2 linked regions of the Arabidopsis thaliana genome follow. The protein of the gene in region 1 interacts with the protein of each later gene in a pairwise test. Each region holds a gene or a part of one and is shown in the gene's direction. Other genes may lie near its edges.

Evidence for each region.
Region 2: the proteins of CCR3 (region 1) and AT2G21237 interact in a protein complementation assay, tested with the Arabidopsis thaliana proteins (one large-scale study listed by BioGRID).

What each region holds. Positions count from the first base shown.
Region 1 is NC_003074.8:20,752,647-20,759,220, reverse strand, and holds CCR3 (CRINKLY4 related 3), read left to right. Parts: upstream 1-2,530; 5' UTR 2,531-2,873; coding exon 2,874-5,318; 3' UTR 5,319-5,656; downstream 5,657-6,574. UniProt on the Arabidopsis thaliana protein: Serine/threonine-protein kinase.
Region 2 is NC_003071.7:9,099,595-9,103,334, reverse strand, and holds AT2G21237 (uncharacterized protein), read left to right. Parts: upstream 1-2,119; 5' UTR 2,120-2,150; coding exon 2,151-2,651; 3' UTR 2,652-2,799; downstream 2,800-3,740. Other genes in the region: BPC4 (basic pentacysteine 4), read left to right, coding at 846-914, 999-1,820.

The sequences.
Region 1 (6,574 bases):
AGCACGCTTAACTATAGATAAGAAATTTTTATGAAAACTGCAGCCTATGTATAGATCACTCAGGGACTCAGATATACATATTTTTAGAAATCAGTTTACCAATGTATAAATAAATAAACCGTTTTTGATTAATTGATTCTTCACCTCCGGGTTTTGGCAAAAAAGTATTCTATAACAAAATATGAAAGACTTATCTACAATAGATCATATATATCGAAAATTGAGTAAAAAGTACTAATGAATAACAAATTTATGGTGGTTTAGTAGTTGAAAATTTCACTAGAGTTGGAGAACATGATATGTATTGTCTCATTATGATTTCAATCTAGGTTGATTACTAGAAATTTAAAGATTGATATGAGTTTTGGTTCGACATTTTCTTGTATATAATTCAAAAAATACTAAAACGTTTACATTTTTTTTTATTCTTTTTCATGATGTATTACAACACTATGTACATGGTACGTGGTCTAAGAGCTGGACCATGAAGTCTTCTTTCCATTGATATCTTGCGTTCTGAGAATCTAAAACAAACAAAAAAGCTTTATTTTTTACCCTCCAAAAATACTTATTGACGCATTACATATGTTTAATTTAGACTTGGTCAATTTGGTCCCTGGATTGTTAGATTACATCATTAGAACACTGATTTTATTATAGTTGACCTAGCAAACAATCGACTTGAATTTTCCCAAATGATTGTTCTAAGTTTCTAATACCATTTTTTTTATAGTATCATATTGCCACTAAATCACAATTTTTTTTATCATTTATACATTAAACAACAACAAGAAAAAGATATTCGAGGACGTGAAGTTCATGCAAATGTGTGTGTGTAGTAGTAGATATGTTCCCATGATTTTCAATATATAATTTATCAGTACATGCATGTAGACACATTAATATAGATATCGGAAATTCAATTTATACTAAATTTGAGTAAATAAATATCAAAACAAAGGGGATAGATGATATATTAATTAATTAATATAAAGGTGAGGGGATACAATGTTTCAAAACTTATTATGATGAAGAAAAAGGTGAAAAAAGATGTGTGCATAAGATTCAGAGAAGGTTTCTCCCAAGTCTCCGTCTCCATCTAAGTCTGGTCTCAGCTTTGACTTCAAATTCTTTCATATAATTTGAATAATACTGAGGGAAAGATGTCACTAATTTATTTTGAACAAGTTAATAGCAATATTGAAGCGCACCATGCATAGCTATTGAATTTTAGCTCAATACTACAAATCAACGAGATCACGCTATTGAAAGAATTCGGTAGAAGTTATTCTTTGGTCAAATATAGGCAGCCATGAGCCATTGAATAGTTTTTGCTTTACAATTTTACTGTCGTTTTCAGTTTATCATTTCCTCTCTCACTTTTCGTCAATCAATTTTCTTTATTACAAATCCCTAGTAAGATTCTAAGAAAGTACGTGCGCGTTAGTAGAATCCAGGAATCATTCCTTTCCTTCATTTCTCCAAAAAAAACCTTTTTTTGGCATTCTCATATTTTATAATATTCTCTCTCTTCCTAAAAATTTGATGTTTTAATTTTTTCTGTTCCACAAAAATTGATGATTATTATTTATATTGTTGACCAATAAAAAAAAAGAGATATAATTAATATTATTAAAATAACAAAACAATAATATTAAAATATAAAATTGTTTTTCTTAATTTGTGTAAAAATTTCATAACATCAAATTTGGTGGAATAAAAGAAATAGTTTTTTTCATTTATCGTATTCAAACTATACTAAGTTGTATATTTGGAGACATCTATAGCTAGCGGGCTAAGTTTTTGATGGATCAACATAGTGTATGCAATTTATGCAAATATACTTTTGGTTTTAGGGTAATATTTTTTTTCATTAATGATCCATCTAACCTTTTTTTTTTTAAAGAAAATTGATCTATCTAACTTTTACCATAATATTTCATTGATCTTATTGACAAACAAAATATATATAATTTTGACTTTAAAATGATTATTCTAACTTTCTGTAAAAAAAATTAAGGACAGTTTTTTTTTTGACAATCACAATTAATATTGAAAATTAAGATTGACAGGTTTTGAATGAAGGTCTAGGTGAAAAAAATAAATTATATTGAAAATTCTAGTACTCTAGATATGCATAGTTTAGTCAAACACAGAAATTGGAAAGTTCAACAAACAGAAATTCACAGTTTAATAACTTCACAGAACAGGAAAAAAAACATTTTTGGAAACATAGACCTTATAGTTTGAATTATATAAGAAATATGTATACTATACTGTTTGCATGACAATTTAATATTCTTTATATTATTCACACTACTTTCTTAGCATATGAGCGGTTGTTGCATGACTAATATAAATCACCACATTATTTATATACACACATATACAACGTAGTAGTTGTGGTGTATTTAAATATTGAAACGGCCCAAATAATTCATATCAAATTTTCTTTGAGAATCTTTAAAAGGTGGTAGTAAAGAAAATTTGTTATGTAAAAATATATCTTAATTAATTACCAATTAACACTCTTGTTATATTTACATAAAGATACTGAATTTCCTTTTTGAAATTCAAATAATTACTCTGTTTTAGAAGATTTAACATTTAGATTAATGCTGTAATAAATAAATAAATCAAAATCAAAGACAAAAAAACGTGACTCTAACATATTAAAAACGCATTTCTTAAGCAAATTCTGACTAATTTCTAATTACTGTCTTGTCTCTAATAAATCTCACGAACGTCTTCTTCTTCTTTCTTCTTCTTCTCTCGTTACTTCTAACACAAGAGTCTTGTTATTGAGTTCTGAAAATGAACCAATCCGACTTAGAATCGACGACGAAGACGCCAGTCAACTTCAACCTCTGTAGATGAAGAGGTTTATCAACTCAACCGTGACGTTTTCCGTCACCGTCACCATCGCCGTTATCATCTTCTTCCTCTTGTCTCCCGTCACCTCCTTAGGTTCAGGCTCAACTTACGCAGTCGTATACGGCTCCGACACCGTCTGCGCATTGATCTCCGGTCAACCCACACAACGTATCCTCTGTTACGACACGCGTCTTAATATCAACGTCACTCTAAACCCCGGCGTCTCATTCTCCTCAATAGCCGCCGGAGATAATTTCCTCTGCGGTATACGCTCCGGTGGTTACAGCCTTCTCTGTTGGGATAACATCGGAAGCTACTCTCCAAACCGGAAACGAATCTACCAAAACGACAACGTTTTACTCGAGACTCTCTCCGTCGGGGATAAACAAATCTGCGCAACCGTTAACGGTACAAATTCCTTAAAATGCTGGAGAGGTTCCGTTTCCGATCAATCAAAACCTCCGAACGAGAGATTCCGATCAATTTCATCCGGCGTTGGTTTCTCCTGCGGCGTTTCGATTCGAAATAACCGAATCCTTTGCTGGGGAACCGATCCGGTTAAATCGAATCAGATCCAAACCGGATTCGGAAACACGCCGATGGTGACCATCTCCGCAGGTAAATCACACGCTTGTGGATTAAACACTACTGGGAATTTGATTTGCATCGGAAACAACGATTCTGGTCAGCTCAATGTTATTGCTCCAGATCAACCTAACCTTTACTCATCATCTCTCTCTCTCGGATCAAATTTCACCTGCGCGATGCGAATCTCGAATAATTCTGTGGTTTGTTGGGGCGGAGGAGCAGAGAGATTCAACAATGTCACGGATTCGATCTCTTTCGAATCGATTTCCTCGGGTCCGGGTCTAATTTGCGGGTTGATTTCAAGTAATCTCTCAATCATGTGTTGGAATCCTACAAATTTCTCCAGAATCTTCCTCCCTTTCCCAGAAGTTTTACCAGGTCCTTGCGTTGAATCATCATCATCCTCTCTTTGCTCTTGTGGTGTTTATCCACAATCTGATAAGCTCTGTTCTGGTACTGGCTCGATTTGTAAATCATGTCCGATTCAATTTCCAGCGAGTCCTCCGAGTCAATTTCCTCTTCCACCACCACCACCACCACCACCGCCATCACCGTCAACTTCATCTCCACCGTCGAAAGCTTTAACAAGAGGATTATTAGCGTTTGCGATCGTTGGATCAGTTGGAGCATTTGCAGGGATCTGTAGTGTGGTTTACTGTTTATGGACTGGAGTTTGCTTGGGGAAGAAGAAAGTTCATAACTCGGTTCAACCGACGATAACTCGCGGTGGTTCTAATAGCCGGTCTAACAGTTCGAATAGCCGGTCGTTATCTATAAGACGTCAAGGATCGAGAATGCTATCAATGAGGAGGCAGAGAAGTGGAACATCGTCGATGAAGCACGCCGATAAAGCGGAAGAGTTTTCGTTCTCCGAGCTTGCTTCGGCTACCGGAAACTTCTCTCTAGAGAACAAAATCGGTTCGGGGAGCTTTGGTGTTGTTTACAGAGGTAAACTCAATGACGGGAGAGAAGTAGCGATCAAACGCGGGGAAGTAAACGCGAAGATGAAGAAGTTTCAAGAGAAAGAAACCGCGTTTGATTCGGAAATCGCGTTTTTATCGAGGCTTCATCATAAGCATTTGGTGAGACTAGTTGGTTACTGCGAAGAAAGAGAAGAGAAGCTTCTCGTTTACGATTACATGAAGAATGGTGCGCTTTACGATCATCTACACGACAAGAACAACGTCGAAAAACATAGTAGCTTGATCAATTCTTGGAAAATGCGGATCAAAATCGCGTTAGATGCGGCTAGAGGAATCGAGTATCTACATAACTACGCAGTGCCACCGATTATTCATAGAGATATTAAGTCGTCTAACATCTTGCTTGACTCTAATTGGGTCGCTAGAGTTTCGGATTTCGGGTTATCATTAATGGGTCCGGTGCTAGGGAAAGATCATAATCCTTATCAACGTCCAACGAAAGCTGCGGGGACGGTCGGATATATTGATCCAGAGTATTATAGTCTTAATGTTTTAACGGATAAGAGCGATGTGTATGGACTAGGAGTGGTGTTGTTAGAATTGTTGACCGGGAAAAGAGCGATATTTAGGAACAATGGTGATGTGGAGGAGGAGGAAGGGTGTGTTCCGGTGCATTTGGTGGATTACTCGGTTCCGGCGATAACGGCTGATGAGTTGAGTACAATTTTGGATCCGAGAGTTGGATCACCGGAGCTAGGTGAAGGAGATGCGGTGGAGCTGGTGGCTTATACGGCTATGCATTGTGTGAATGCGGAAGGGAGAAACAGGCCGACAATGACGGATATAGTAGGGAATTTGGAGAGAGCATTGGATTTGTGTGGGGATAGTCATGGGAGTATCTCTAGTGGCATTTGTTCTATTGTCTCTGATTGAGAGATTAAATTCAAACAAATTGAGTCTCTTCTCTTTTTATTTTTACATAGGAATTTTTTTTGAAGATTTAATTGTTCTCTTAAATATTTCTGCTTTTTTAGATGGTTTGTTTTTTCTTTGTTTCATTTGTATTTTGTAAATAGTTTAGCGTAGCTGCGTAGGAGAAGTTGAATATTCAATAGTCGTGGTCTAACCTTTTTTGGTTGGGAAATGTATAATTTGGACAGCGGAGAGCGAATGATTAAAGTTGGAATTTTTGGTTTATTGTTTTGTATGAGAATTATGATGTCGTTCTTTTGGTCAAAACGTATTCTTTAATTTATGTGTAGATAATAATGGCTCTGTCGTGGATTTTTGTATTAGGAAAAGTTTTAATAAAAATCCAAACTAATTTTAATTTAGACGTTTAATATCTAATATTTTTTTATTAGAATAAAAATACTTTATCTAATTATTTATAATTATAAAATACCTCATATATATATATATTATTGGTAGAATCAAATTCGGCCGTTAACGGACGTAACGTAAATAGTTAACGGTGTTAAATTTTAACCCCTCCATAGTACAGAGATATATTTAATTTATTTCCTGAAATGAAGATAAAATCGATGTGGTCTGTTGGTAAAATGCTGAATTCACTATCAGCAAGATCTAGGTTCGAGACTGCCCAGAATCTTTAAATATTAAATTTTTGTTTTTTTTTTCTTTTTCGCCCTAGCGCCGCCGTCGACCACCATCCCGGAGATGATAGCACAATTGGAGGATTAATTTGGTCACAATTATAAAATCCCTACTCTCTTGAGGGTGGGGGTTCTTCTTCATCCTCTTTTGCGATTGGGGATGAGAGCTTTAGGGTTTATTGTAAAGATTAGGTGAATGAAAAGATGATTGGATATACGAGAGCTATAATTAAATGATATTGGTGTAACAATATGTGGTGATTGGAGATCGATCTAGGAGCAGAAGAGTCTAAAAACCTTGAAATTTCGGAATTGGAGGCTCTTGTTCATGGGTTAGATGAAGGTATCATCTCTCTGGGAAGTGGTCGCGGCGGGGAAGGAAAGAATAAGAAAAAAAAATTAAAAAAACCTTATCTAGATTCGAACCCGAGTGTTGCAGGTAGAATTAAACACAATTAACCACTGGACCACAACGATATCATCTTATATGATATAAAACAGCTTGTATATATCCGTATGGTTAAAATTTAACGACGTTAAATGATTATGTAACGCTCGTCAACGGCCGTTATA
Region 2 (3,740 bases), on another chromosome or scaffold:
TGAAACATTCTCAAATGTTTGTGAGCCTATCTTTCATACATAAACTCATGTTGTTAAACAGATTATGATTTCTTAAGTACTACAATATCACACATTGATGGAAAGTGATATAGATTTCTCTCTTCTCTATTTATATGCTTAAATCCACAATGAATCATTATTGTAACTGAAAGAGGATATTTAAAAAGACGAGTATACCCTTGATTTCTCTTGTTTAGTAGTAGAGAAGAGGGTAATTTGGTAAATGACGAAGTAAGTACATTGAGCTTCTTCGCGGACAGAGACACTATCTCTCTCTCTCTCTACCCTTTGGATCTTTCTTCTCGATCAATTATCCATTTTGCCCAGATTTTTTCCAGAAGCTCATCGAATTCGTAAGCTTTCGCGCCTTTTCCTCTCTTTAATTTATTTGTTAATCAATTTTGAATGTGTTGTATCTCTAGGGTTTATAATTTCAGTTTCACCCTTGTTTTCTATTGTTTCGCGGAATAATCTCTTGTCATGGAAGGTTTAGATTGATTCGACCTTTTTGATCTTGACCTAATTTATTCCAATTTTCGTAAAATTGTTCCTTAAGACCTGTTTCTCTGACTAGCTCAGATTGATTTTGGTATCTGAATCAATTGCGGAACCCTAACTGGCAGATCAATTCGAGAAGTTTTGATTTTGTTTGAAGATAGTGAATTGCGAGTTCAGTGTGCTAATATCTGCTTGTAATTCTTACTCTTCAATTGTTTTCATAGATCGAATCACAATGTTTGAAATTTGGTTTCACTGTTGCTGAGTGTGTTTGGAGGAGAAGCTTGATTGGTTCGGTGTTTCACTGTTTGAAGATTATAAGAGTTATGGAGAATGGTGGTCAGTATGATAATGCGCGGTTCAAGCCCGATTACTTCAAAGGTGCACAATCTATGGTAAGACTTAAGATTTTTGGTTTCCTAAAGATATGTTTTTGTTAGTGTGATTGAAGTTATATAAGCAAAGAATGTTTGTTACAGTGGAATATGATTCCCCAGCATCAGATTAAGGAACAACATAATGCGTTGGTGATGAATAAGAAGATCATGTCCATCCTTGCTGAGAGAGACGCTGCTGTACATGAAAGAAATCAAGCTGTCTCTGCTAAAAAGGAAGCTGTCGCTGCTCGGGACGAAGCGCTTCAGCAACGTGACAAAGCTCTTTCTGAGAGAGATAAAGCTTTGATAGAGAGAGATAATGCTTATGCTGCTCTTCAACACCATGAAAATAGTCTCAACTTTGCTTTGTCTGGTGGGAAGTGTGTTGATGGAGATGATTGTTTTGGTATTGGGGAACCCCACAAACTTGAAGTCTTCCCTTTGTCAACTATTCCGCCTGAGGTTACAAACACGAAGGTGGTGAACAAAAGGAAGAAAGAGAACAAGCAGGGACTATCAAAGGTGAAAAAAGTGGGTGAAGATCTGAACCGTCGAGTTCCTGCTCCTGGAAAGAAATCTAGAACAGATTGGGACAGTCAAGATGTCGGTTTGAACTTAGTCACCTTCGATGAGACGACAATGCCTGTACCCATGTGTTCGTGCACAGGCTCTACGCGTCAGTGTTACAAATGGGGAAATGGCGGCTGGCAATCGTCTTGCTGCACAACCACCTTATCCCAGTATCCATTACCGCAGATGCCAAACAAGAGGCATTCTCGGATGGGCGGTAGGAAAATGAGCGGAAACGTTTTCTCGAGATTACTCAGCCGTTTATCAGCAGAAGGATATGATCTCTCGTGTCCTGTTGATCTTAAAGACTATTGGGCTAGGCACGGGACAAACCGCTACATCACTATCAAGTAGCCTCTGTTGTTTACACAGTCCAAGTATGTTTCTCTCGTCTTCTTAAGATTAGGTGTTGTCTTTGTCTTTATTGTCCATAGTTTGTTCTTTGTTGTGTATGGTAAAACCATTGTTATGTGTATCTTTTGGATGGGCAAAAATGGTTTGCATAAAAAATCTGTGTTTTGACCTCAAAAAATAAAATAAAATCGTAACAGTTAAAAATCAAAATCTGTTACCCCTTTGATAGCAAAATCTGTTACCCCTTTTTTCTTTCACTTGTTAGTTTCTTTTTATACCGAGAGGAGAGAACAAAAAATAAAACACAAAGTAAGCATAAACAACAACAAAATGATGGAGAAAGCCACAGTGGCGCATGTGGAGACGCATCAACGGTCACAAGAGATATGGTTTCTTGGCGCCGCAAGAGCCTTCTTGCAAATTCCGAATCCGGGGATTGTCAAAGTTTTTGTCCTAAGCAGCTTGACTACATTCACCTCAGGAATGGCTTTAGTCATTGAGTGGATCTGTCACGGAAAGAGTCACACGGGATTCGGGTGGATCATCTACTATGCATTGTTCTTGATGTGTCTTCCTCTTGTCATCTTGATCGGTCTTCATATTCTCGTCAGGCGCGGCTCAGATCAGATTGTGGATTCAACTCCAAGCAAAGAACCGTGTGTGGTGCAGAATCAGAGTACCGAGACGACTAAACGAACTGAAGAAACGGTGAAAAACAGCTGCCAAAGTTTAGCCGTTGTGGTTGCTCCGGATGACAAGAAGATGCCGAGGATAAAACGCGCAGTGTCATTCCCGTCTCACGGCGAAGTAAGATCATGTCGAACTCGTTAGCAAATTAAAACTTAGTGTGGTTCATTCAAAAAAATAACTTTGATGTGGTTAGCTATCAGATCGATTCAAGAATCTAATAATCTCTTTTGTGATATGTTTGTTATTCAGCATTTTATCTTTTCCAATAATCCAACGACCAATGATCTTCAAAAATTCGAATTACATCTTTCTTTCTTTTTTCCCCTCTTATGAGCTGAGTTCAATATATATATATATATATATATATATATATATATATATATATATATATATTGATGTACTATATATTGTTAGTTAAAAGCAAAAGATGAAAAAGTCTTACAATGGGTTTTGGTTTTTCTTTGAAATTTTGTAACAACCCAAGTAAAATACTAGATCCTCTGTTTTTTAGGGAAAGTATTTTTTGCAAAATTTTGAATTGCTATAAAGTAGAGTTTTGGAAAAACTAAAATAAAAAATCTTTACATTCAAGGTAAAAATCTCTACTTCTTTGAAATAATGCCACGTGTCAGTTCAGCGAGGAATAATATGTGTGAGTCTCATGGGTTGTTTGAGTCAATTTCGTTACCGGTTCTACAATAAGAAGTTACTTTGGCCCAAATAGAAAGAAATTTTACTTATCAAGTGGCCGAAAGGTGGCCCCAAAAAAACAAGGAAGTAAATCTACTAATGTACATTTGTCGCTACATAATTGGTCTAAGATAAATTACTTATATAGAATACTGTTATGGTGATTTACCCAATTTTTAGCCAAATGTGGTAAATTTAATTTCTAAACAAACTTACAATCATTTATAGTATCTATTAATTTATTGCTAACAACAATTATTTTTTCCAAATAAAAATACATTTTTTTTTACAAAATTTAATTTAGATTCACTGAAATATCTACAATTAAGTAATGTAATTTAATGTGGGTCCATGTAGTGCATAGAAAAGATTTACTAATTAAGTGATTGCTAAAATCAATAAATTAATAAACAAAAATAAAAATATTAGTTGATCAAAAAAAGGAGATATATGATATTTATTAATATAGCCAAAAAATAAATCTCACAATTACAATTAATCAAAGGACTACAAAAATATACAAAACTTTCTGTAAAAAAT